Linked DNA regions of Kluyveromyces lactis. The protein of the gene in region 1 binds, or shares a complex with, the protein of each later gene. Links are inferred from orthologs where the notes say so. Each region holds a gene or a part of one and is shown in the gene's direction. Other genes may lie near its edges.

The links.
Region 2: RSM24 (region 1) and MRPS16 share a complex: the UniProt entries of both Saccharomyces cerevisiae proteins name them as parts of the mitochondrial small ribosomal subunit. The link is inferred for Kluyveromyces lactis from reciprocal best matches to the Saccharomyces cerevisiae genes RSM24 and MRPS16.
Region 3: RSM24 (region 1) and NAM9 share a complex: the UniProt entries of both Saccharomyces cerevisiae proteins name them as parts of the mitochondrial small ribosomal subunit. The link is inferred for Kluyveromyces lactis from reciprocal best matches to the Saccharomyces cerevisiae genes RSM24 and NAM9.
Region 4: RSM24 (region 1) and MRP2 share a complex: the UniProt entries of both Saccharomyces cerevisiae proteins name them as parts of the mitochondrial small ribosomal subunit. The link is inferred for Kluyveromyces lactis from reciprocal best matches to the Saccharomyces cerevisiae genes RSM24 and MRP2.
Region 5: RSM24 (region 1) and MRPS17 share a complex: the UniProt entries of both Saccharomyces cerevisiae proteins name them as parts of the mitochondrial small ribosomal subunit. The link is inferred for Kluyveromyces lactis from reciprocal best matches to the Saccharomyces cerevisiae genes RSM24 and MRPS17.
Region 6: RSM24 (region 1) and VAR1 share a complex: the UniProt entries of both Saccharomyces cerevisiae proteins name them as parts of the mitochondrial small ribosomal subunit. The link is inferred for Kluyveromyces lactis from reciprocal best matches to the Saccharomyces cerevisiae genes RSM24 and VAR1.
Region 7: RSM24 (region 1) and MRPS5 share a complex: the UniProt entries of both Saccharomyces cerevisiae proteins name them as parts of the mitochondrial small ribosomal subunit. The link is inferred for Kluyveromyces lactis from reciprocal best matches to the Saccharomyces cerevisiae genes RSM24 and MRPS5.

The regions. Positions count from the first base shown.
Region 1 is NC_006040.1:1,522,990-1,525,619, reverse strand, and holds RSM24 (mitochondrial 37S ribosomal protein mS35), read left to right. Parts: upstream 1-1,218; coding exon 1,219-2,130; downstream 2,131-2,630. Other genes in the region: histone acetyltransferase NGG1, read right to left, coding at 1-870. UniProt on the Saccharomyces cerevisiae protein: Component of the mitochondrial ribosome (mitoribosome), a dedicated translation machinery responsible for the synthesis of mitochondrial genome-encoded proteins, including at least some of the essential transmembrane subunits of the mitochondrial respiratory chain.
Region 2 is NC_006042.1:2,519,196-2,521,544, reverse strand, and holds MRPS16 (mitochondrial 37S ribosomal protein bS16m), read left to right. Parts: upstream 1-1,486; coding exon 1,487-1,849; downstream 1,850-2,349. Other genes in the region: mRNA-binding protein RRP12, read right to left, coding at 1-763. UniProt on the Saccharomyces cerevisiae protein: Component of the mitochondrial ribosome (mitoribosome), a dedicated translation machinery responsible for the synthesis of mitochondrial genome-encoded proteins, including at least some of the essential transmembrane subunits of the mitochondrial respiratory chain.
Region 3 is NC_006037.1:1,006,620-1,009,708, reverse strand, and holds NAM9 (mitochondrial 37S ribosomal protein uS4m), read left to right. Parts: upstream 1-1,140; coding exon 1,141-2,589; downstream 2,590-3,089. Other genes in the region: EAF7 (Eaf7p), read right to left, coding at 1-749; SRV2 (adenylate cyclase-binding protein), read right to left, coding at 2,796-3,089. UniProt on the Saccharomyces cerevisiae protein: Component of the mitochondrial ribosome (mitoribosome), a dedicated translation machinery responsible for the synthesis of mitochondrial genome-encoded proteins, including at least some of the essential transmembrane subunits of the mitochondrial respiratory chain.
Region 4 is NC_006038.1:937,252-939,318, reverse strand, and holds MRP2 (mitochondrial 37S ribosomal protein uS14m), read left to right. Parts: upstream 1-1,219; coding exon 1,220-1,567; downstream 1,568-2,067. Other genes in the region: DCG1 (Dcg1p), read left to right, coding at 102-932. UniProt on the Saccharomyces cerevisiae protein: Component of the mitochondrial ribosome (mitoribosome), a dedicated translation machinery responsible for the synthesis of mitochondrial genome-encoded proteins, including at least some of the essential transmembrane subunits of the mitochondrial respiratory chain.
Region 5 is NC_006040.1:1,091,074-1,093,669, forward strand, and holds MRPS17 (mitochondrial 37S ribosomal protein uS17m), read left to right. Parts: upstream 1-1,397; coding exon 1,398-2,096; downstream 2,097-2,596. Other genes in the region: KLLA0_D12760g (uncharacterized protein), read right to left, coding at 1-836; putative rhomboid protease RBD2, read right to left, coding at 2,296-2,596. UniProt on the Saccharomyces cerevisiae protein: Component of the mitochondrial ribosome (mitoribosome), a dedicated translation machinery responsible for the synthesis of mitochondrial genome-encoded proteins, including at least some of the essential transmembrane subunits of the mitochondrial respiratory chain.
Region 6 is NC_006077.1:36,139-39,293, reverse strand, and holds VAR1 (ribosomal small subunit protein), read left to right. Parts: upstream 1-1,488; coding exon 1,489-2,655; downstream 2,656-3,155. Other genes in the region: COX3 (cytochrome c oxidase subunit 3), read right to left, coding at 1-755. UniProt on the Saccharomyces cerevisiae protein: Component of the mitochondrial ribosome (mitoribosome), a dedicated translation machinery responsible for the synthesis of mitochondrial genome-encoded proteins, including at least some of the essential transmembrane subunits of the mitochondrial respiratory chain.
Region 7 is NC_006038.1:1,002,308-1,004,994, reverse strand, and holds MRPS5 (mitochondrial 37S ribosomal protein uS5m), read left to right. Parts: upstream 1-1,302; coding exon 1,303-2,187; downstream 2,188-2,687. Other genes in the region: cytochrome oxidase assembly protein SHY1, read left to right, coding at 2,568-2,687. UniProt on the Saccharomyces cerevisiae protein: Component of the mitochondrial ribosome (mitoribosome), a dedicated translation machinery responsible for the synthesis of mitochondrial genome-encoded proteins, including at least some of the essential transmembrane subunits of the mitochondrial respiratory chain.

The DNA.
Region 1 (2,630 bases):
TTGTGGCATGATGAATTTGTTTTGAAGGAATTTGATATCGTCATCATTGAATTCTCTGTAAAAGGCCTCGATGGATGAGAGAAAAGTATTAAACTGAATTTGGTTTGTGGGTTTAGGTTTCGAGAAATCCATATCAGGCAGCTCACCGGGTAGAAGTTCCTTTAAGTCATTTGTAGGATAGCTTACTACCCCGTATTTCTTTTTCAAATATTCCTCACCAGTAGCTTCAAGACCCTCCTCTTGAAACAAACCTAATCTCATTGCAGCAGCAGGTAACGTTTGAGATACTACAAATTCAGACTTGGGGTTTCTAATGTTAGGATCATTTTCCATTTTATCAATATCTAGCTTTGCTTTCTTTGATATGTGACCATCTGATGATAAAACTTCCGCTTCTTCAATAGTATCTTGTGGCCTTTTGTCTGTCTCCTCGTTCTCTTCTGTAATTGATCTTTTATCCGATACGACTTCGCTAGATTCATCAAGTTTTTTATTAATTGAATCATTTTCTGCGTTCTGGGCTGCAAGGTTTGTTGCAGCTTCTGCTTCCTCCTTCTCTTTTTGTTTCTCATCTTCGAGCCTTATTATATCTTCCCGCATTTCCTTGATTAGGTCTAAATTCTCTTGATCACTAGCTGCAATTTTCTCCAAACATTTTCCTAGATTTTCTAGTTGATCTTTAGTTGTTTGCAAAACCGGTTTCTCAGGAACCGACCTCACGTATTTACCGTTCAGTAAACCTATGTCATTCTCAAAAGTCAAGTCTAAAGACTTCAGCATCGAATTTAGAATATTCGACGGTTCATGTAGCCCAGCGTCATCTCTTTTCTGCTCTCTTATTCCTTTGCCTCTTCGCGTATTCCTTGACATAATATACCAGTGGTGTTTTACTGAGTGAAGATCTGGTTTAGCAATCTACTTGATTCCACCTTTGTCCACTGTTGACTATCGTTAAAAGATAGGCTGCTTTCCAGCTTTGGCAATATTAATGACTTTGTTCTGTTTGTTGCTTCGTTGTTTATCTTCCGTTACTTTGACAGATATTTTCATAGAAAATTTATTATCACGTGACCTCCGCCTTTTCTCTGCAAAAAATTTTCCAAGTTTACCAGAAATACCAATAATCCTCGATACAACACCAATCGGAACCAGAGAAAGCCAATTATATTCAAAGTGTTAAAAGGTCTGCGATAACGTAATCATCTTAGGCACTCAACAATGATTACTGGTGCTAGCGTGCAACGTACTGCATTCTTTTGTAGTAGACGTTTAAACTCCACCGTTACGAAAGAAGTTGCGACCATTTCCTCAACACTTTACAAGGATCCATCGAAATGGATCGGTTTGGATAGTAAAGATATCATAACGTTGCACAATGAAAGAAAGGCAAGACTAGGGCCCCTATATAAGCCTTGCGAAGAAGAGTTGAAAGCATTGTTACCCACTGCCGAAGCGTCTGGAATTCCAGCAAAACTTTTCAAAGAGTACTATCATAAGACACCTGAAGAAGTTGAGGCAGAAATGGGCATTGCAAGAGGTCTAGACGAGCATGTCAACTTGGATCAATATCAGTTTGATGATTTGCCATCACAATCACAAATTTTAGTTCATCAACATCGTGAACAACGTTTCTACAATCGTTTGGCAGCATTTGAACTTCCTTTACTTGCGCAGTATCGTCAAGAATATAAACGCCCTTCAACAAAGACTCATCCAGTAGCTTATCGTTATACAACATATCTTGGTGAAGAACATCCAAATTCTCGTAAGGTTGTCTTATCTGTGAAGACATCGGATCTCGGCTTGGAACAGAGGGAACTGCATAAGCTGCGTCTATTGGCAAAAACACGTTATGATTCTACTACAGATACTTTGAGAATGTCTTCTGATCGCTATGAAGAACCAGCTCAAAATGCAAAGTACTTAAACAGCATTCTTCTAGAATTACTCAAGGAGGCTAAAGATTTGAAAGACGACTTTGCTGATGTTCCTCTCGATAAAAGACATATCATCGCAAGACAATTGCGTAAGAAAAAGCGTGGGTACGAGTTCCCAGAAGAGTGGAAACGTCCACAAGATGCTCCAAGGAAAACAGTGGATCTTGTTGAGCTATTACACAAACAGCTTTGATCAACCTTTTAAAACACACAAAAACAACTGTAAATAGCCATATACGCACAAATTAATGACCAATTTAATTGTATAGCAACAGCCATCTATTCGTTAAAGGGTGAAAAGACAAACCTTACATATCTAAGATGATAGCTACTTCAACTGTAGATTTAGTTGATCAGCAATGCTAAATGAGATTCTTTCAAACTTGTCACCGAGTAATTCAAAGAAGTAAACTGACGGCGGAATATTTGAAGAAATTTGGCACTGCATAGATGCATTGTAGATAAGTTATACGTTGACTTGACATTAAAATATACCACTCATTATTTTGGCATAGTATTTGAACAACGTGTGTACGAAAATAAGGTCCATGTACTGAATTGCACGTAAGTGTTTTACAAATTAAAGGATCAAAGATTAATTTCAATTGGGAAAGAATAAAAATAAGTGAAGTGATATGAAAAATTTGAAACAATACCACAAAGAAAATCTTCAATTACTCCACAATGCTTCCT
Region 2 (2,349 bases), on another chromosome or scaffold:
GCCATTGATTTGTTGATATTATATTGCTCAAAAGTTTCAAAATATGAATGATTTTGGAGTTCAATTCACTTGCACCTCCCATTGCTCTTAGCTTCTTATTGGAAATCGTTGCAGATTCATCAAGGATGGATACCAATGCATTAATAGCGAATGCTGAGATCAAAGGTGATGCGACGTGTTCTGCTGTTGGACCAGGTGGAGGGTTTTTTAGAATGTTGGTAATTGCATCCTGTGCTCTCTTCCTTACTTTTGGTCTTGGATCTAGAGATAGCTCAAGTAGACCATCCAAACCTCTTGTTGGAGTCACCTTTAAATTTTGAGTGTTATTCCACGTTTGCGTATCCTGGGCAATTAACAAAGCTTCTAAACAACCAAGAGCGGATTTGATCAAAGGAGCGTTAGCCTTTTCATCAGTAATACATGGGGCAACTTTAATCAAAATATCAGCAAACCTGCTCTTTAATATTTTCTTTGGTGTATAATGAAAAATGATGTCCAACAAATACATCGTTGATGTTGCTAATTGTAGATCTTTAATGGCCGCAGTTTCTGTATCGATAGTTTGATCCAGCAAGGACATCAAAGAAATAAGATAATTCACGATGTTCTTATTAATTGCCTCTTGCTCATTAATATTTTCTTCAATAGCAGCCAAGATTATGGCAATGTGCTTCTGATTCTCTAGTTTTGATGTAGATTGTCCTCTGATTTTAGCAAGCTTATCTTCAAGTTCAAGAAGCTTGGACGCTTGTTCAGGACCCATATTGCACAATTTGTTCGCTTGTCAGTTTTCAATCCCAAGTTAAACTCAGTAATTCTCTTTTCTGAGGTGTTGTTGATTATAACTCGTCTCTACTTGTTAGATGAGATGAGCGATGAGATGAGCTAGATTGAAAATTTTATACAGCTTGTGAAAAATTTCTTTTTAAGCCCTTAGTGATGAAGCAGCAAGGATCGTGAGGCAATGAAGAAAGCAGAGAATAAAAAGTAAATAAATTTTGGTTAATATATGCCAACTCTGTATATATGCGTCTGCTAAACGGGTTCAAGAACATACTATTTCATTATTTGTGTCGTTAACTTTCTTTACTGAATGCGATGTTATTTGTAATGCCAAGTCGTTTTATATGACTGCATTTTTGGTAAACTAATTCCCACCGTCAGTCTAACTCCAGTAAATAAACACTTTCTCACTTATAGATACTTTCTCATAGATCAACTTCCTATACTATTAGGCTGTAATGTCGCCATAAACGCCTAAGACGAATGTTGCTCATACGGCTGTTAGATATCCCACCTATATCACGTGATAGACATGCTTTATTTAGTTGGTGTTGAAAATCCTTCGAAAGATAGAAAAAAAAATTCAATCAACATTAAAAGCGTAATAACAGGACAAACATATTATGTATCAAGACGACCAGAGCGAGTAAACCAAGTCTCTTAAACCAGAATTTAACGCCAAGTTTGGTGAAATACAATAATCATGACGAAAGGTTTGGTGAGGATAAGACTAGCTAGATTCGGAAGGAAACATACCCCAGTATACAACATAGTTGTTACCAACAAACATAAGGCGTTGAATAGGAAACCAATTGAAGTATTAGGAACATACAACCCAATCCCAAAACCATTAACGAAGAAAGAGGTTAAACAAGGTGTTGTTCCTACTAAAGATGTGGAATTAGACTTCGGAAGAGCTAAATACTGGATCGGTGTTGGTGCTCAACCTAGTGATACGGTAACAAGACTATTGAGAAAAGCTGGAATCCTGGATGAAAATTGGGGAAAGACCTACACAAGTAGTAGGGTTGTTATTGAACCTAGGAAAGAAGTCTTTGAAGAATAGACCAGCTGTTCCGATTACTGTATTAAAAGCGGTATATCAATAATCAGGGCATAAATCACCATCTCCCAAGGCTTTCTTACGGTCAAGAACTCATGTATATAGGCTTAAATTGATAAGAGGAATTCGGGCACTTTTTCCGGTCATAAACCAATGTAGTAGTTACATACACTTAACAGCTTGGCCCCATGCGGTAAAATTGAAGTGATTAAATTTACATATCACCATATATAAGATGCTATCAGGTAATTCTACACAATAATAATAATCGTCATCAGCATATATTTCCCTGAATGAGGGAAGTATCATCGAGGAATACTGACTGTTAAACTATGTGATTTCCGAAAATTCATAAATATTAACAAAATTACAAGAACAAAAAGATGGTTTATGTTATGTTTTTGTGAATGAGTGAGTGAATGTCTAACTTCTCAAGTATTTAATAGGTATGTTTGGTGTAATGTTCAGGTTTGTATTGGAGATTAGTGCTCATGATGTTACAT
Region 3 (3,089 bases), on another chromosome or scaffold:
TCATCGACAGGTTCATTCGCCAGTTCGCTCACAGATTCTCCAACACTGACTGGCGGAGTGGTCGCCATTTCTTGTTTCGCCTGTACATTATTTTGCTCAGTATCCTTTTCATCGATATCCTTTTCTCGTTCCCGTGGCTCTTCTGACTCTTGTTCTACTTGCGTATCCTGTGATTCCGCACCCTTCAGTTTTGCCTTGTCATCCGCAGAAGCGGTCTCCTCTTGCTTAATATCTTCCACCTCATGATCCCTAGCATGTTCTAACATAAGTTCTCCATAATCTTCCCACGATAGTTCAAATTCCGTCTCTTGCTGGAGTCTATTTTGTAATGGTATTATATTTCTCTTAAGCTCGTCACAATTGTCAACATCATTGTCACTGTCATCATCATTATCTAGTTGAGCGTCCCCTTCTGTCTTTTTGTTTGTAGTTTCGGTTGGTCCGTCATCATTATAAAATTCAGGGTATGGCTGGTTCTCTACTTCATCTGCCTTCTCTAAATTATAGTACCGACTCAATTGTTCCCAAACGTCCTCCCCAGAAAACACTTTATCTGAGCTGCCTTTATCGCTTTGCAAAAGTTTGATTGGATACTGATCTGGCTTGTTCAATCGCTCAAGCAAACACACCATATGGAAGTGTTTATGTATTCCTGCAGGTTTGAACAGCATCATCCATTTAAACAGCCTTATTTCCTCCACTTTACTCCATGTTTGCCCTCTAGGTGATTCTATCTTTACAGCGGACATCGCAGTGAACCGTATCGTATTACTTTTATCTGAAGTATCACAACCTTATACACCAAAAGAACGTTCTTGCAATTGATATAATAAAGTTCCTATCAAGATCGCTGATAAAGCAGATCGTATGAGGCTTGATACCATCTTCGCCAGTCCATCTCAATATGGTTCTATGGTGTTTCTCATCTTTCTAAACTATGAATGCTAATATTTGATATCATATGTCACGAAATTCCTCTAAAAATTTTTCAATATCGGAAAGCTTCAAGCATTAGATAGCGTTTGATTGAAAAATATTATGCAGGTAGTTCGGATATGCAATGTATTTCCATTTCGAAGAGTCCGTAAGCAGTCAATTCTGGTTAGTTTTGTCAATACATTGTGAAGAAAAAGACCAGCAATGCCTAGGAAAGCTGTACTTCTGAACTCTTTGTCCAGAGGGAAGGTTCGTACCTCTTTTAACAAGTACAATTTGTTCAACTTGTATAAGAAATCTCAGGTCAGTTTTAGATCGAAAACACTATACCAACAGAAATGGACTTCTAAACAGGAAACTCGTGCCTACCATGGCGAACATTTAACAGAGAGTAGGTGGCAGTCTGTTTTCGAGCCTCAGCTAAACTCTGTGGCTCAATTAGATGCTTCTCTAAGGGGTGGTGATATCGAACCGACGCCCATTCTATTACAAACATACGCTGTACTAGAGAAAAGGCTAGACTTTGCTTTGTTTAGAGCTATGTTTGCCTCGTCAGTGAGACAAGCTCGTCAGTTTATTTTACATGGCAACGTCCATGTGAATGGTGTAAAGATTACTTCTCCGGGATATGCCTTGAAAGCTGGTGATGTTTTCAACGTCAGACCCGAAAAAGTGCTACAAGCTCTTGGTGCCAAGAAACCTAGCTTGAAGGAAGCTTTGAAAGTGGATAATACCCAAATTTTCCTATGGAACAAATATATTCTAGAGGCTAGAAAGAATCCTAGAAAGTTCTGGGATGAAAAGATCGAAAAACTAAGAACTATGGATAGTAACGATCCAAAGAAACAGGAATTTTTATCCTTCCTCGAAAACTACAACAAAACCATGCACATTCAAATGAGGAAAGAATTAGACCAAACCAGTAACGAGTATTTGTTAGCTAAGATCTTTTCTACCGTTAACCGCGTTAACGATGTAGAAAAATTGGCAGTAAAAGATTTCTTGGGCGAATTTTACAATAACGAAAATTTGGCAGCTAAAGGATTCGAAATTTATAGAGAAGTCAAGTCTGCCAAGGCTGTGGAAACGATAGCAGGGAAGCCTTTGGCTGAAATTCCTAATGAACAAGGTGAATTGCTAAAGGTGGCTACAGGAATAACTAAACCTGTTGATAACACAAACGATGCCTTAAAGAAAAAATTCAGAGCCATCAATCATACTATAGTTGATTTGAGACATTTCTATGAAACCGTGGTCAGAGAACATTATAATGACAAGATGGCATCCGTTGATTCTGTTGATATTCCATACGATGCTAAGTGGGCTGAAAAGTTACCATTGCATCAAAAGATCAATGTTCCTGAACTATTGGAAAACGAACCAGCTGCTCAAAAAGCTATCAATTTACCATGGCAAAAGGGTGTGTTTGGTCGTAACGATCCATCTAAACCATATTTCACTCCGTGGAAACCAAGACCCTTCTTAGCACCATTCGCCATTCTACCACACCATTTGGAAATATCATTCAAGACATGTCATGCGGTCTACTTAAGAGACCCTGTTGCACGTCCAGGTCAATCTGAAGTTATTACTCCATTCGGCTTACCTGTACATGAACGTTCATACATGTACTATGTGAGAAGGGGTAAATAAGTTGACGAAAACAAATACACACGAAAGAATGGATACACTGTGACTATGACAATTTAAAAAGAATGGTGTATCTTGGAAACCTTGTACATATTATTATCATTATTTTATCGTATCATATTATATTAATTATATATATATATTTATATGTTCTAATGAGTAAAGAATAAACTAACACCCAGTAACGAGAAGATATACTATTCAGATATTCAACCAGCATGTTCGTAAATCTTGGTTTGTAGTTTACCTTCGACGAAAGTGTGTATCATCTGTTCTGGAAGTGGAACTTCAACGAAGTCACCATCGGGACCAGTTGGAGTGTTGATGTTAATACCAGTGCTAGAAGAGGTGAAAATTTGAGCCTGTAAAGAGTTTTTACTCAAATAAATGGAGCCGCTATCAGACGCGTCGATGGTGATTTGTGGCAGGGTGTTTTCCACTTGAATACCAAATCTCAAACATTTAATAATATCCACACCACTGATGGAAGAATCTAGCACTAA
Region 4 (2,067 bases), on another chromosome or scaffold:
AGAAACTTATATAACTCTGTATGATAGGAGTCAAGTAGCTCATTATTCCAGGATGATTAACATATTGAATCATAGAACATAGCTGACACTAACAAGCAAGGATGTCGTTGTCTAAATTACCTTTCGTAAAGCACAAGAAGAGTTTACCAGATGATGAGCTCATCAAGGTCTTATTTGTAAACCCTAATTCAACCCAAGCAATGACCGATGCCTGTTTAAAGATATTGGCTGGTCATGTAGCTCCAGACACTGTGGTTTACGGGTACACTGCACCATTTGGTAAGGCACCCAATGTGATTGAGGGTCATCTCGATGGTATTCAATCTGCAATTGCCGTTATGGAAGATGCTTACGATGTAATAAACCAAGTCGATTGTGTACTTGTTGGATGTTTTAGCGACCATCCATTGATAAAATCTATCAGGGAAGAATTTGATGATGTTGTGTGCATGGGTATCGTGGAAGCAGCCGTGTACTCATCCAGGATCATTGGATCAAAATTCGGTATTCTTGCATCAATTTACAAGGCTCAGTTAAGAGATGAGGAAACCATAGCAGGTCTTGGCATGTCCACATTTTGCGTTGGATTGTTAAGTTCTGGTATCAAAACCGTATCGGATTTGGTCAAAGTGGAAGAAGCTGAGCTTCATAAAACAATGTCTAAAACTGCCTTGACCTTAGTAGAAGAATATCACGCAGACACCATCATCTTGGGCTGTGCAGGGATGAGCGACTTGAAAAATGCTGTTGCAAACGCTTTACAGCAGAATGGCTATGAAGTGCCAATTATTGACGGAGTGGTATGCGGGATCAACATTGTTTCGGCTGTCTACAGAAGTGGATTACACGGTACATCCAAACAAGGAGCTTATTCAAGTGCTAGAAAGGCAAGAGAACTAAGAGGTGATACAGTTGAAATCAAGAAGTCATGATACTGGGAGTCCATTGGCATGGTGCTGTGTTCATTCCATTCCTTATATAACGTGTATAGTGCCAATATAGTCAGGTGACCTCCATCAAGAACGTTTAACATGATATGAACTTCAAGCTTTGAAAGAGAAAAAAACGAGTTTGGAGCTTCTCCGGAAGATGAAGAATAAAGTTCAAGCATTAGTGGATGCATTCTTTGGTTTTCGGCGTATTCAGTATCTGTGAGACTAATTTCGATAGTTATCCTAGCAATTAGTATATCCAAAGGAAGGCTGTAGATATAAACAACATGGGTGGTTTCAGATTTCCAATCAAGACAAAGCTTCCTTCAACGTATTTGAATGCTAGAGTTATCAGAGACAATTTCAAGAGACAGCAAGTTGCAGACAATGAAGTCACTGTAAAGGCATTGAAATTCATTGCTAGAAATACTACTCTACCTCCAAGGTCGAGAATGGAAGCTCAGTTACAACTTTCTGTGATGCCTAACTATACAAGAATGACACAAATCAAGAACAGATGTATTGAAACGGGACACTCCAGATCTGTTCTGAGTGATTTCAGATTGTGTAGATCGCAATTCAGAGAACTTGCCAGGAAAGGTGATCTACCTGGTGTGAAGAAGGGTGTATGGTAGATGCAGTTTAGCATCTTTTGTTCCCTGATACTGAGGTTAGTAAAAGTTGGAATCTTTCTCTCCCGCATGCATGTAAATATTTTTAATTAACTCAACATATATAAAGCTTGTGTATAGACATTAAAAAATACAAGGTTTAATCAATGTAAAAGAAGCGCTTGGGTTGTGGCAAAGCAAGTGACATTTATAAGATGAGAAAGTGCAGTATAGTGGTGATAATATTTAAGTTTCTTACAAAATAAAAGAGTGTAGGTATATAAAAATAATTTATAGGTAGAAACACACAAAACAGAAGAGAGGTAGAAGAGAAAATGTCAGGGAGGGATGGTCACTTGAAACCAGATGGAAACAAAGAAAAGAACGAGGAGAAAAAATTAGGAAATTCAACGGAAATTAATTGCTGACATTTGTATATTAAAAATTGATCAATTAGAAACAAATGAATATGGTTTGTTCGTCTTCCCTCTTCTTTTTTTTTGGATCTTTACTTCTGCCAATTA
Region 5 (2,596 bases), about 430 kb from region 1:
CCGTGATCGTACACGATGGTACTGTGTGCCAGTGATCTGAGGTCAAACACTCTGACGGATCCATCACCACCGCAGCTGGCAAACAACTGCGTCGATTGTGCCAAGAATTTCACGTCGAACACTTCGCTATCATGTGCAATCAATTGCGTCTTTACGTAGTTGGTAGAGTTCGAAAGATCCCATACGGTACACGTCGTGTCGATGCTACACGATAATAGTAGGTTAGGGGAGATGGGACTCCAATGGAACGATGTGACGGGTGGGAGTTGGCCCAACGTGACAGTATCCTTTTGAGACGCAGAACTAGGGTGTTTCCCGTATTTGTATAAAGAAAGGTTGATCTGTTCCTGTAAACTGCCATCCAACGACCATATCCTTAGGGAATCCGAGCATGTTGCTAGTCTTGTATTGTTTTGAGGCATCCATTGGATCCTGGATATAGGATAAACCACGTTAGCAACGTTGGTACATTCCCATGTAGAATAATCGTTCGATCCGTTGATGATCTCTATTCTATTGTAGGAATCTTCCTTATATGTCCCCAGGGCACATTGATCGTTCTGATTCCAAGAAAGCGCGAAAAGTGGAGCGCTGGACTGGTACTGACATGTCGTTACCGTTTTTAGCTTGTCCAATGTATAGTTACTATTCCCACTCCCCAGTCCCAACTGTTGCTGTTGCTGCTGTTGCTGCCCATGTTGTAACTGTTGAGAATGGCCTTGGTTTGGTCGCTGGTAGAAATTAACTCCGTTGTTCCCTACATTGTCTAACAGGTTCAGTTGCCTTTGATAGCTTCCAAATGAGATACTGGACCTTTTACTATTTCGATAATCCATGATTAATGGCTAGTTTTCCTTGAAAAATCTTTGAAATAGAAATCCTCTGTAATTTAAATGTATATCGCAGTGTTTTGATTGGTCTTTCTGGTATCGTAGACCCCTTCAAACCCCTTCTCTCGGTTAGTTTCGATATTTAAGGTCATGTGAAGATTCTAAAACAGACCAATCCTTTAATTTTTATGGCCAGAATGTTAAGCCGTTTGCCATTCTCAAGAGCAACAGGAACATGAAAAAGGGACATTTAGCGTCCCACATTGCCTTATAACATTCTAATCTACCCACGGACGTTTCAAACTGGGCCAAGTGTGCTAAGAAGTAGTTTAGTTCTATAAAACCCAAGACTAACCTCATACCTCCATATTCTTGGTGAAGAACTAAATCACGTGATCTATCATTAGAAACGGTGGTGATCTTTCCAACATCAAAAAATTTTAAAGCCTTGAGGCCATGAACGGTTAGGTCGATGCTGTTAAAAGAACAATAGAGCAGTCTAGTTAGCTCTGTGTCAATTGGTTCGTCGATACCACTATCCAAGAATAAATTAGCCCACCTTCAACCATGGCTCGTCAAAATTTTATTGGGATGGTCATCTCCCAAGGGAAGATGCAGAAGACTGTGAAAGTTCGTGTTGAGACCAAAGTTTTCGATAAGAGAATCAACAAAGAGTTGTTCCATAGGAAGGATTATTTGGTTCATGATGAATCTGAGGTTTCTCGTGAAGGGGATTTAGTACGTATTGAAGCTACGAGACCTTTGTCCAAGAGAAAGTTTTTTTCCGTTGCTGAAATTATCAGAAATAAAGGTCAACAATTTGCTTTATTCCAAGAACAGGCCAAGATCAACGTTGCCAGCGAGGAAAACGAGAAGACTAAGGCCTTTTTAGAAAGGAGAGAACGTAAACAGGGTGTGGAATCGACACTTTTGAATGATGTTCGTGTATTACAGAAGGCTTATACAGATGGTACCGAGGATTCTGCCGCAGTTAAAGAGATTAAGAGCCGTTACGGAATTGATAAGTTTAGTCCGGAATCCTTGAAGCAAATATTACAGTTGGATATTCTCAAGATTGAAACCCAAGTGAAACAACAGCAGCAGAAGATCGATGCTATTACAGAAAAATTGGCAGAGTATACCAAGAACGAATCCTTGGCTAATGAATTTTTACTATCGAAAGGTTTGGAGAATCCTCAACTGTTGAAGAAGAATATCAAGAAGAACATCTTGAGAAAGCACATACTCGAGGAACTCAACGTATGAGAGAAAAAGAGGAATGACAGAAAATAATTAAAAAGGATGTTTCCCTATGTATATAGAATGAATATAATTCTCCCCGCCGCATCGAAGTAACACGCATGTAAATATAATTATCAATATTTCAAAAGTTGGGTTTGAAGAAAAAGAAGAAGAACAGCAGATGATTTAAATCTCTAGTATCTAATTTCTGAGGATTCACATTTCAATTTCCCAAGACTCTTCCGTTTCCTTGAAATGTGGGCTCCGCTGGAGTATCCGTATTATGCAAGGGCAATCTGGATTCTGACCCCAGGTAAACGGAAGTATATTCAAGTGATCTGTCCACTTCAACTTCCCTATAGTACTTAATACCGAATGGGATCAGATTGATCAATGGATCGACCCATGTTTCAATTTTCTTCAATACAAAGCTTGGTGGAGTAATCTTGGCTACCCAATTCTCTTTCAACCCCATGAAGTATCCTAATAGTAACCCAATTGCATGACCTGGTAGACTAGAACCA
Region 6 (3,155 bases), on another chromosome or scaffold:
ATATGGCAGTACAACACTGTTGTTTCATAACCTACATGATGAGTAGCTGTTAAATGATAGTTTCTTAATCTTCAATAATTAATACCTAACATTGCTGCTAACATAACCATATGTAAGAAATGTAATCCTGTACCAGCATAGAATACTGATCCATATACACCATCAGTAATTGTGAAAGTAGCATTAGTATATTCGATATATTGACAAGTAACAAAAATAACAATTAATCAGAATGTAATTAATAATCCTGATAATGCATTTTTTCTATTACCACCTACTAATCCATGATGACTATATGTAATAGTAGCACCTGAAGATAATAAGATAATAGTATTTAATAAAGGTAATTCTGTAGGTTGTACAGCTTGAATACCAACTGGAGGTCATACACCACCTAATTCAATATTAGGGCTCATAGCTGAATGGAAATAAGCTCAGAATAATGCAGCGAAAATTAAAATTTCTGATACTACGAATAATAAGAAACCTAAATTAATACCTTTTCTAACAGCAATTGTATGATCTCCTAAATATGTTGCTTCAGCAATAATATCTCTAAATCATAATGTAGCACTTAATGTTACTGTTAAAATTGATAAATAAATTAAATACATATGTCCAATATATCCATGCATAGTTAAAGCTAATGATAATGCTAATGACATTAATGCAAATGATACTACAATTGGTCATGGTGATGGAGCTACTAAATGAAAGGGAAATTGTTGATGTCTACTTCTTTCTAAATGTGTCATAAATATTTTTATAATCTATACATTTATAAATTTAAATGTTAATTTAATTTATAGAAATAATATTACTTAATATATATATATAATATATATATATATGATAATATTTATATTTTAATATAATTATTATTATATTATACTTACTTATAAACCCCATTGCGGACTCCCCCCCCCCCGAAGGGAGGAGTCCGCAATGGGGAAAAGTTAATTATGAAAACTATTTATATATAGTATATTATTAGTAATATTAAATATATATCTAGTATCGCCAAATACCCCTATAATAGGGGTATTTGGCGATTAATAATTATATTATTATATATAATAGATCTATATAAATAAATACAATTCCCCGGACGCCTCGTCCGACCCTACGGTCGGACGATGGCGTCCGGGGTTTATATATCGATTCCCCCCAATCTCATAATATGAGATTGGGGGGGGGGGAAATAAAATAGATTATCTCTTTAATAATAATTATAAATAGAATATATTATCTTACCCCGCGGATCCTCTACTGGTATTACCAGTAGAGGATCCGCGGGAATTTATCTCTTTCCCGCGATATCATCATATGATGATATCGCGGAATATACATAATTTATAAAATATATAATAAATATTTTATTTTATATTTATAAGTAGTAAATATAATAAACATGTTAAATTTTTTAATAATTTAATAATAATATATATATAGTTTTATATATATATATTATACGATCAATATATATAAATAAATATAAATACAATGAATAAACATACAACAAATTTAAATATTATTAAAAATATTAATAATATAAACAATTTAAATTCTATAAAAGAATTATTATTATTATTAAATAATAAAAGATTAAATAGATCTTTAAATAAAACTTATATTTGAGATTATTTAAATGAATTAAGTAATAAAGGTGTAAAATTACAACATTTAAATAATATTAATTCTTGATCATCTCAAATTTATAAATTTAATAAAACTGAAGAAATTAATAATACTATTTATGATAGATTAGTAACTAAATTATTAACAAAATTATTAGTATTAAATATTAATAATAAAATTTATAAATTAATTATTTCTAAACCTATCTTTGAACATAGTATTAATAAAGTTAATATTAAATTTTTCTATTATTTATCATATAAAAATATTAATAAAAATATTAATAATAACAATAATTTAATTAATAATATTTATAGTAATTATAAATTTAATATTAATAGTAAATTAATTAATTTATTAAATAATAACATTAATAGTATTAGTAATATTTTATCATTATATTATAATAAAGATGTATCATTTGAACCTATTCAATTAAAATATAATTATATGAATAGTGATATTTTAGCTAAATCATTAAAAATTATGAATTCATCTTCTAAAAGAAGTTTATCAATGAATAGAATTAAAAATTTAATGAATAATATGCCTAAATTAAATGATAAATTAATTAGTCAAACATATATTAATAATATTAATAATATTATGTTTAATAAATATAATAATATTATTAAATCAATTAATAATAATAATAATAATAACCCCGCGGACTCCTCTCCTGGTAATCCCAGGGGAGGAGCCGCGGGGAAATTATATAATATTATTTATGAAAATAATAATATTAATACTATCCCTAATAATATTTTAATGTTTAAATATTTAGTAGGATGATCAATTCAATTAAAAGGTAGATTATCTAATAATAAATCTATTTCTAGATCTAATACAATGAATATTTTAAATGGTACATTCCAAAACTATAAATATATTTGAGGTAATCAAATGGTTAATAATTATAAATTAAATTATATCCCTGTTAACCATAATATTACTAATATTTCTGATGTTAATAAAAATGGTAAATATAATATTAAAGTTAAATTAAATACTATTTAATTTATTAATTAATAATAATAAATAAATAATCAATATTCTTCCCCCACGCGGCATTACCCTAGGGTAATGCCGCGTGGGGCTTCTTTCTTTATATTATAATTATATAATTATATAATATATAATAAATTAATATATACATATAATCCCCCCTTCATATTATATGAAGGGGGGGGTAAAAATATAAATATTTTATAATATATAATAAATTAATATATATCTTTCCCGCGTTCTCCTTACTATTTCCTTAAGGACCTCTAAATACTAATAAAAATTAATTTTATATTATTAATTTTATATATAAATAAATATATAATATACATTTTCCCGCGGGGTATAATACTTATTATTAGTATTAATAATTTATTTATTTATTTATTTATTTATTTATTAATTTATTTATAATACTTTTCCCGCGGACTTATTCCCTGGAATTCCAGGGAATAAGCCGCGGGGTGTATAAATAATTTTATATACTCTTCTCCCGGGGACTCCTTCCCATA
Region 7 (2,687 bases), on another chromosome or scaffold:
AGGAAAAGAAAACTTGCAAGGCCAGGTGGTTTCCTTTCTTACCATATGTATATCACTGCTGGGTAGCGTTAGTAAATGCATTAGTTTGTCAATCTACCTGCGGCATGGAATTTTCACATGACGCACAAGTAAATCACTATTGATGTCGCATTGCCACTAGGGATTGGTTCCAGAAAACATAACTTCTTCCGAATTGATTTCAGATTCTACCTCCATCCATGTGAACGAGTATTTCGTTCCAATATTTTTATATAAATTAACGAGTAACTTATATGGTAATCTTGTCAGATAAGTGGAGTTGATTTCATTTGGAAAGAGAACCAACAGGATTGGTATGTCTCATATGAATTTATTCTCGGACCAAAATTGAGAAAGAAAACATCTGCAGTTTTTCAAAAATTCAGGCATTTTGGGATTACTCTCTCTTCATGCAGGGCAAGACACCAGATCATCTTTATTCTATTGGTCTTCATGTTCCTGCATAACTAAATACTATTTGTATTTAGTTCATTATTTCCTGTAGATAAAGAATCTTTCTAAATGGGTTTTAAAACATAGTAAAATATATACCTAAAAGAAGAGTCTTCGTGATATGAATGTTTCATCTTTAAGGTACTGAAAGGATATGGTACTAATATTGATTCTAATGACAACAAAGCCCGTGTATAACATTGCCAGCTGAAACATGTTGCTCCACTATGTATCAGAAGAATATGTAGTGTTTTGAAAAAAGATCTTCTCTGGAAATTGTATATAGCGATACTAAACCACTAATATAGATGTTTTAGTGACCGGCTTTATTAAAGCAGGTAAGTCGTTGTTTAAGCGACAGAGCTCAATATTGGATGAAACAGACTCAGAAATGAAACAAAAAAACATGTTACCCGGATAGCATTCCATATGATAGTGTCATCTACCATGTAAGGGTAAAGATGCGTGGAACATACCTGAAACATACTCCATGTATCCTCCTTTGAACGTCTGAAGAAGATTTTAAAGATGTGCAACCACTGCTAATCTTACCATACCTTAGTGGGTGGATCTTCAGCTAAGAATTGTGAATTTCTAATCACATGATCAAGAATAATGCTCTCTCATTTGTAACGATTGATCGATTTTCAAAAATTAAAAAAATTTCAATAGTTAATACAGAATGGCAACATACTCAGACATATACACCAGAATAAGGTCTAATATAATTGACACCAGAAGTCTTTTGAAGCAGGTTTAGACAGGTCGAGGAGCAAAATTCAACATAGTGAGTTGCAGCGTCTTTCTCAATAACCCTGATCGTATTTGAGAATGTTCGTCCGTTGTTTCTCGAGCACTGCTCGTGTATTTCAACAAGACCTGTTGAAGAAATACTACTCTCCAGAACTACTCAAGTCTATTTCCTTAGCTGATAAAGTAATTCCTGACAATGTAGAGTTCAAACCACAGACAAATGTTGAATTCTCACCACCATATTTGGATAACTTTGCCACATTACATCCTTATTGGGATTATAAACCAAACTCTCCACATCTACATTCAAGCTCATCTTCGGTATTCGTTCAAGAGATGGAAAAGCATCCAGATTTGACTCCTCCTGTGGGTTCATACTTACAAACTGAAGGCAGATCAGATATACAAAACATTGCCAATAATATCCAACTACAGACGGGGTTCGATGCTCAACATATCGCCAGAAAACTAGTGATGAAACCATTGATCTTAAAGATGGTTTCTAATCAAACTGCAAAAGGTAAAATTCCATCCTTCTATTCTCTTGTGGTTGTTGGTGATAAGAATGGTATGGTAGGAATCGGTGAGGGTAAATCCCGTGAAGATATGGCAGAATCCATCAAGAAAGCTCATTGGGATGCAGTGAGGAACTTAAAAGAAGTGCCTAGATTTGAAAAAAGAACTATTTTTGAAGACATAGACTATAGATACCACGGTGTGAAACTATTCTTGAGAGCTGCTAAGCCAGGTTTCGGTCTAAGAGTCAATCACGTAATTTATGAAATTTGTGAATGTGCTGGTATCAAAGATTTAAGTGCAAAAGTTTACAAGAGTAGAAATATCATGAACATAGCCAAGGGTACTATAGACGCTATCACCAAGTCTCAAAAATCTATAGATGAAATTGCTCTAGGTAGAGGTAAGAAAATTGTGGATGTCAAGAAGGTATATTACTCTGCTTGATTTCAACCAACTCCATATTTAAATTACTTTCACTTTTTCTCCTATGAAGAAACTATCTGAACAACCTTCACATGATTCAATTACGACCTAGATGATCATTCTCATAAAACAATCAATACTCAGATCTACGTAACCTTGTACATATTAATATCCCCACAACGTCGGAGTTCCAAATTCTTCTTCACGTGACTTTTAGAATATTTCACACTTTTCTGATCTTTAAAAGATTGGAAAATGAAGATGATGAAAGCAGATGAGTAGTATATCTAATCGCGTATAAACATGATTAGAAAAGCTTTAACTTCTTTGCTGTTACTAATTGTTCAAACGCATTTCAATTCTTAGCGGAAGCTACTAGTATCACACAATTAGCAAAGCATATGTTTCGCTTCATTGTGGCTAGGCCATTCACTGTACCAAAGGTAAGGCCGGTAAGACGACTTTATAGCACGGTCAGGACATCGACTGTTGACTGGAAACCTATCAAAACAAAGAAGACA